2 linked regions of the Saccharomyces cerevisiae S288C genome follow. The gene in region 1 interacts genetically with each later gene. Each region holds a gene or a part of one and is shown in the gene's direction. Other genes may lie near its edges.

Evidence for each region. Genes that interact genetically often act in the same process or in processes that back each other up.
Region 2: mutations in TMA64 (region 1) and EFM6 together harm fitness more than expected from each alone (negative genetic interaction), as found in Saccharomyces cerevisiae (one large-scale study listed by BioGRID).

Annotation. Positions count from the first base shown.
Region 1 is NC_001136.10:683,446-687,221, reverse strand, and holds TMA64 (Tma64p), read left to right. Parts: upstream 1-1,578; coding exon 1,579-3,276; downstream 3,277-3,776. Other genes in the region: APC4 (anaphase promoting complex subunit 4), read right to left, coding at 1-1,340; mitochondrial 54S ribosomal protein uL1m MRPL1, read left to right, coding at 3,641-3,776.
Region 2 is NC_001146.8:586,607-590,903, reverse strand, and holds EFM6 (putative protein-lysine N-methyltransferase), read left to right. Parts: upstream 1-3,056; coding exon 3,057-3,797; downstream 3,798-4,297. Other genes in the region: FAP1 (Fap1p), read left to right, coding at 1-2,641; KSH1 (Ksh1p), read left to right, coding at 4,084-4,297. UniProt on the Saccharomyces cerevisiae protein: S-adenosyl-L-methionine-dependent protein-lysine N-methyltransferase that methylates elongation factor 1-alpha (TEF1 and TEF2) at 'Lys-390'.

The DNA of each region.
Region 1 (3,776 bases):
ATTGAGCTAGGTTCCGTACCTTTTTTAGATAAGATTCTGTCAAAGTAACTTAGTAAATCGTATCCAAAGTAAAGATCATCCTCAAATTGAAATTTCAGTTTATAATCTTCATCTAGCGCTTCATGAAGTCTGTCGTTGAACCATATGAAAAACTTCTCAAAAAGTGTTTCGTCCCTCCCCAAGCCTATTATTGAATTTAATGTCATAGTTAACAATTTCTGTGAACTTTTTAGGAGCACTTCAACAGCTGTCAAATCTGACGTATAACTGAGCTTATTCTGTATAGAAAAGGCTTGTAATATTGCCCTTAACTTCTCCACATAAATAATGATTCTTTCACATGCGGGTACAAATATTAAAGTTAAAATCTGAACAGTTTTTTGGTAAGCTTCACAACCTAAATACTTCCACCTTTTAAAGTTCTTCTCACCTACTGAATTGCAAAGCCAGTCTTCCAAGTCACATGAGATCTCTCCAAGTAAAAAGAGGGCTTCTAATTCCGATTTGAGTTTGCCATATCCGTAGGCTTCATCACACAATCTTTTGACGAAATCTAAATAAGGTGTTGCCAGTTCCCGGTTAATGAACTCGAGATGAGTAAGCATATAACCTATAAGCTCTTTTATTACCATTATATAATTCAGCAGGTTCACTGATGATTTGCTCTGTAATAAAGGTCCTAAATTTAAAGTTTGTACAGTTCCATCCTCATAGAAGCACTGGTAAAAGCCATCTTGAACTTTGATAATTGATTTTAAAGAATTTTCGTTTTCAATATTATCCACCGACAAGAAAACAGCGTAATCACCATTAAAAAAAACTGTAATTTTATCATTTCCCTCATTGAATACTACGTGAACGTCTAGTTTTTCATTACTATCTAGATCATCCTCATCAGGACCTCTCCACAAGCTATTCGGTTGAGTGTAAGGGACAATGTTTATCCTTTTGGAGTCCTTTACAAACCTTATTAGCTTTGGTAAATCATCAATGATGTTACATGCAAAATCTCGATTATTTGGTTCGTATCTTAATGGAATTCGGTCCCATATACCTTTTGATATTTTTGTACTCGGAATTCTTAGGAATGAAACTAATCGACCGTCTTTAAAAATGTCATGGATTCTGATCGTCCCATCCTTAAAAAAGATGGACAAAAATTTACCAGTAGTTGTATCCCAATCGTAATTCGCCACCAAGTTTATATTTCTTATTGGAATTACTGCAAGCCTAGCGTGATCCGAGACTCTGTAAATAGCAAGGCCTTTCGCAATTCTTGTAGCAAAGATTGGAAAAAGAGGGTTATAATCAATGAAATAATCATTAATAGGAGACGACATTTCGTCTTGAGTCGTTTACGCGTGTTCAACAGAACCCTAGGTCACGTCTTCTGATAAATCGAATTGAACGCATTCTGTGCTCCATTTTGTTATGCTTGGTTAAACTTAGGCGCTAGCTACGGAAAACAAAAATGTAAACCTAAAAAACCGTGAAATAACACATATGCGTCAAAATTAACACATGAGTCTACTGAATAACCGACTCAATAGATTAGTGTAGCGCAGGATTAGTACAGCTATGTTTAAGAAGGAGCCTCACATAAAAGCTTTAAGTAATTTGAAGAATTCCGAAAGAAAGAAGTTGCTACAAACATTCCAAAAACAAACGAATAATGAGGAATATAGCTTTCGTACTTCCACTATAAAACAAACCAACTTTAACGGCCAGAAAAGTGTAGGAACGGTTTACACAGATGAGAATAATACCCCAATATTATTCAAGGAAAAGCATAAGGAGCAACTTTTTCCAACTGTGTATTCTTGTTGGGAATATCCTGCGTTATTGCCGATCGTTTTAACTCATGGATTTGTTATAGAAGAACATTTATTCAACGGCGCTAACTTAATGATTTCCGGTTCGATCCCACCCTTTGATCCTCGTTGTAAAATAGGTACTCTTTGTGGTATAGCTAGCAAACAGGCACCAGAAACTGTCTTAGCCATCGGTATTGTCGAATTAGATCTACCGTCCTTTGATAAAGTAATTGGTGAAACAGGAGTTGCTGTCAAAATCATACATCATTTCAATGATGGGCTCTCCAAAGTCTTTAAAATGAAATTGGAACCTCCATTTGTTCTCAGTACTCAATCAAAGGATAACAATATCAGTAGTAAACAGATAGAATCCTCGGAGCAAATCAAGGCTGTTGAAAAGGAACAAGAAGATGTAAAAGAAGCGTCTGTTGATGTAGAGGAGATTGCTGAAGTTCTAGACCATTTCACTGTGTCGGATGTAGATTATTTCATTACAAGAGCATTATATTATACCTTGACTCAAGATAAAGGTTTGGAATTACCCATTTCAGCTTCTAACTTCATCTCAAACCACATTATGCGTAATTTGCCTCCAATTGATCACAATGAAGTCAATGTAAAGAAAACTTCATGGAAAAAAAGCGCAAAATTTTTGAAACACTTCGAGAAAGAAGGCTTCTTGAAATTAAAAGGAAAGGGGGATGACTTAACTATTGTGGGCAAAAATACTGACAAGGATGAGTTAAAGAACTTTGTGCCATATAAGCTTGGTTGTAGCAAGTCTGCCACAGAAAGTAGGGAGAGCACAACCTCGAAGGAGAAAACATCTGGAATGATGTATTCACTGACTCTGTATAAACCCTTTAATCTTGCCAAAGATCTTTTGAAGGAGGTTAATTTGGCTTCTCACACGTACTACACCTCTCAGGACATTAGAAGCGCGGTTTCTCAGTATATTTCTGTCAAGAACCTAGCAGACACAAAAGATAAAGGAAAAGTTATTATGGACGATCTATTATTCGATATGGTCAATAAGAAGAAGAAAGTCTTGAATGCTTCACGTATCATTGCTAGAGGTGAAATTTTGCATCCCTTACTCACCAATAATTTTACCGAGTTCTATCAGATATTCAAAAGCGATGATACTCTCTTGTTCAAGGCGCCAATGAAGGGTTCCCTTCCGCATATTAAGATTATTACTGAAATGAAAATTGGCAGAAAAGTTATTACCAGAGTGAGCAATTTTGAAGTGTTTCAAGTCGACCCAGAATCACTTGCGGCTGACTTAAGAAAGATTTGTAGCGGATCGACAACAATAAGTGAATCACAAACATTCAAATGTGCTGAAGTGCAGGTTCAAGGTCCACACGGTCAATCGATCATTGATCACCTTAACAAGCTAGGTATTCCAAGCAAATGGATAGACTTTGAGAACAAGTTGAAGAAGAAAAAAAGAAAGTAGATTTATATCATATAAATGTTTAAATGCGTAAAAATGCCCGACATCAAAGCATATAGAACTTTTTTACCTAATCGAAGCTTTTCTAAAGTAGGTATTATGGTAGTCTTGAAACCCACAAAAAATATGAATGTATCATGGGAGGGAACGAAATGTTTTCAACAGCGGTAAAAATATACTATATTTGTATATCCAGTTCATCTTTACTATTCTCTATTTTTTAGTGTAACTTACATTATGAGACTAGCGACAAAATCTCCTTTTTAAGCGAAAAGAGAAAACTTTCGAAAAACCAAAGTATTTTGAAAAACGACCTGAAATAAAGGGAATTTGAAGAAAACTAAACAGTGATAAGTCATCAAAGAAGATGCTATCCGTAGTAGCGATCCCGAAAATATGTGTCACAGGTCCTGCAAGAAGATGCTTTTTTCATACTGCAAAAAAACTATACGCAGATGACTATAAACCAGCAGCTATGTCCTCCAATGCACCTTCGCTAACAA
Region 2 (4,297 bases), on another chromosome or scaffold:
ATGTTATAGAGTGTTTGATTACGGATGCATAAGAGAATGGGCGTTAAAATCAACGGAAAAAACCGTAGATAGAATATGGAAATGTCCAAACTGCTATTATGTTAGCAAAAGAGTTCCGGTAAAAAATCGGCCCACATGTTGGTGCGGTAAAGTTGTTAATCCTGATCCGAATCCGCTGGATCCTAACTCATGTGGACAAACCTGCAATGCTTCTACTTGTATGCATGGTTGTTCCAAAATTTGTCATCTAGGGCCGCATCCAGAGTGTACTAGAATGGTCGAGATTATGTGCCACTGTGGTAAGCATTCGAAAAGTATCTTTTGTTACCAGTCTAAAGTTATGAAAAAAAACTTCAACTGTCAAGAAGTATGTGGATTGCCTTTATCTTGCTCCATCCACACCTGTAAAAAGAAATGCCACCCTGGCTTATGTGGGCCATGTCCAGAAATGATAATTAGTAAAGATAGTCCGAAAAAGCAAATAAAATGCTACTGTGGTAACCACACTCGTGCTAACATAAAGTGTAGTGAAACAAAGTTTCCCAAGTCCGGTAAGTCGTCGAAGGATGAAAATGGGAACAGGTGGATAGGCGTGTTTGCCTGTGCAGATAATAGAGTTGTCGACTACTCATGTCGCAAGCATTCATTCATAGAATCTTGCATAAGCCCACCCACAATTAATGGAGAAAAGGCATGCCCATTTTTGCCTAGCTCTTTGAAAACTTGTCCCTGTGGCCGGACAGCCCTAGAGGAACTGACTAAGCCTCGTAAGCATTGTGATGATCCGATACCAACCTGCGACTCAAGATGCGGTAAACCACTAAAATGTGGCAAACATTCGTGCCCCTTCACTTGTCATGATAAAGCCTGTATGGAACCCTGCTTGCAAATTGATAGTGTAAAATGTGCTTGTGAGCAAAGTACATTTTCAGTTCCATGTGGATTTCAAGGAAGGCCTCGCTGCAATATTAAATGCGAATCCCTGATGTCATGCCGTAGACATAGATGCACCGATAGGTGCTGCAGTGGTAGGCCATCGGCGATAAGAAGGAAGAAAAACTTGTTCAGAACGCAAGATTTGTTGGATGAGTCTCTTGTGGAAGCAAAACATATCTGCCTAAAACCGTGTAACTTGACCCTATCATGTGGAATTCATAAATGTCAGAGAAAATGTCACCCAGGAAAGTGTCCGCCCTGTTTAGAGAGTGATTCGAACGATCTGGTCTGCCCATGTGGCAATACAGTTGTTCCTGCACCCGTGCGTTGTGGCACGAAGCTACCTACATGTAATCATCCATGTATTAAAGTTGTGCGTGGCGAATCTACGTGTGGTCATAAACCAATGCCACATACCTGTCATTCCTTGGATGTGTCGTGCCCGCCATGTACGGAAACCGTATTTAAACCTTGTAAATGTGGGAAGAAAACTAAAGTGAGAACGGTTTGTTTTCAAACAGACGTATCATGTGGAATAAAATGTGGGATACCACTCTCTTACTGTTATCATACCTGCCAAAAAACATGTCATTTACCAGGAAATTGCCAAAAGGTGTGTAAACAGACCTGTGGGCAAAAAAGGCTCAATTGTAATCATGAATGTCCTAAACCGTGCCATGGTAAGACAGAGTGTCCCGATTTACCTTGTGCCACGCTAGTGAAAATTTATTGTAAATGTGGAAGGATCAAAAAAAGTGTTACTTGTGGCGCAAAAAGTGATAGAGTAAGTGTAACTGAATCTTCCGTGCTGGATTGCAATGAAGAATGTGAAGCTTTGAAACGACTAAAGGAATTGAAGGAGGCATTTGGAATTAAGGAAGAAACCAATAATTTTACAAGTAATGAACTAGATGCGTTAAAAAAACTGGTCTCTGTTGCTACAACATTTGAAGAACTGCAGTTACCGTTTACAGAGGCAGCATTATCAGTATATTCAAAGCAAGAAAGATGGTGTTCACAAATTGAAGCTATTCTTAATAAATTAATGGACGATAAAACACGTTCAAGCTTGCATTTCAAACCTATGAGGCCTCCTCAACGCCACTTCATCCGTGAACTAGCCAAAGCTTACGGCCTATATTCCGAGTCTCAGGACAGAGAGCCCATGAGATCTGTATTTATTAAGAAAGAAGATAATGGCGCAAGCAATAAACCAGTCTTATCATTAGCAGAAGCTTACCCACTATATGAATCATTTAAACAATTGCAGAAGGAAAGGAAAGCACAAGAATTTCAAGCTCGCACCACAGCTAAACTAATCAACTTCGAGGTTCAAGATACGGAACCTAAAGTAGAGGTGGCTAAGAAAAATGGTTTTTTGGTTCAAAATTTGGTTGCTGGAAATACTGCCGAAGATCTAAGGAGATTTTTTGAACCACATCTCAAGCATACGTTAGTAGTGAATCCTCAATACCTAATCCTTGATGATGGCAAAACAGCACTAGTGTATCCTGAAAATTACGAAACAGCATCCGTGAATACCGAACGTGACATGGAGCTTTTGGTTGGACACTTCGATTTTATGGCCAAAGAGGCATTTTTGGCCGATTCCATTTCGTTGTGTTCAACTGAAGAAGAACTTGAAAGAAGGTTGGATACGCCCGTAATTCAAGAGGATAGTCCTGTAATGGATAATAATACATGAACTATAATAGCGTGTCATTATTTATTACGCGGAATTCTAATTAAATAGAAATATCTAACTTTTATTTTTTTTCATCCTATCTCATTTCTTGTTTCTCCCTGTCGTTGCTAAAATACGAGGATCTGCATATGTTTACATATCAACGTTCCCGTAAACGAATGGAGAATACTGAGTGTCACGTTAATAATACGGATATTATAATTTGGAAACCTAGTCAAGTAAAACCAGAAGAGATTTTTCTTTTCTCTTAAGCTTTTTTGGCTTGACCAAACGAAAAGTCCCTCACACCCAAACACTGAAAGTAATTCTTCGTATTTAAATAATTCAAAAGTTATGATGAGCAGGCTCTATGTAAAAAAATGGCCCATAATTTTCCCTAGAACGTTATAAAAACGCGACTAGTGAGGTATTGAGTATGGAGAGTATATTTGGTGGGTTTGGAGATCTAGTTGTTCCTAGGCCAAAGGAGCATCTCGGTCAAACAGACCTTTCCTTCGGTGGAAAATTATTGCCTGCATTGAAAATTTGTGAAGATGGCGGTGAAAGTGGTTGTGGCGGTAAAGTCTGGATCGCTGGCGAACTGTTGTGCGAGTACATACTCGAGAAATCAGTTGACCATCTGCTAAGTAAGACGGTCAATGGTACGAAACAATTTAAAAAAGTCTTAGAATTGGGTAGTGGTACAGGTTTAGTTGGATTGTGCGTGGGGTTGTTGGAAAAAAACACATTCCACGATGGCACTAAAGTATATGTTACGGACATTGACAAGTTGATACCACTATTGAAAAGAAATATAGAACTGGACGAAGTTCAGTATGAAGTTCTTGCGAGGGAACTTTGGTGGGGTGAGCCGCTGTCGGCAGATTTCTCACCTCAAGAAGGTGCTATGCAAGCAAATAACGTTGATCTAGTTTTGGCAGCTGATTGTGTGTATCTCGAGGAAGCTTTTCCATTACTAGAAAAAACACTACTTGATCTCACTCACTGCATAAACCCACCTGTAATCTTGATGGCTTACAAGAAGAGAAGAAAAGCTGATAAACATTTTTTCAACAAGATTAAAAGAAATTTTGACGTTCTTGAAATTACAGATTTTAGTAAATTTGAACATTATCTTAAGGAAAGAACCCACTTGTTTCAGCTTATCAGGAAGTAACCTGACACAGTGAATTTATCTCTTAATGATCCTGATCTTATTATATTTAGTAATGAACTTTTCGATAGACATTTGTAATTCATGAAAAAACGATATAACATTCATTTTTGTAGTGTGGTGTACGCATGGTGGGACTGCTCTTCTTGAGCGAAATTTTGATCTTCAATAGAGTGAGCAACGACAACTCAAGGATAAAGACAGAACAGCGGTAAACATCGTTTGCAAAATAACTAGAGAGCCGGATCGATTTACTTTGCAAAGTTGCGTCCTTTTTCCACGACAGAATATGTCTGCATTATTTAATTTTCGTTCTCTTCTGCAAGTGATATTGTTACTGATTTGTTCATGTTCTTATGTTCATGGGCAGTGGCCGTCTCTCCTAGATCGTTACAAAAATCATGAGGTTTTGGGGGCCTTCTGGAAAATGGCACGTGTTGGTGAAAGGGCCAGTCCATATGTTAGTTTAGCATGTATTTTGATGGCCATCAGTCAATTTAACA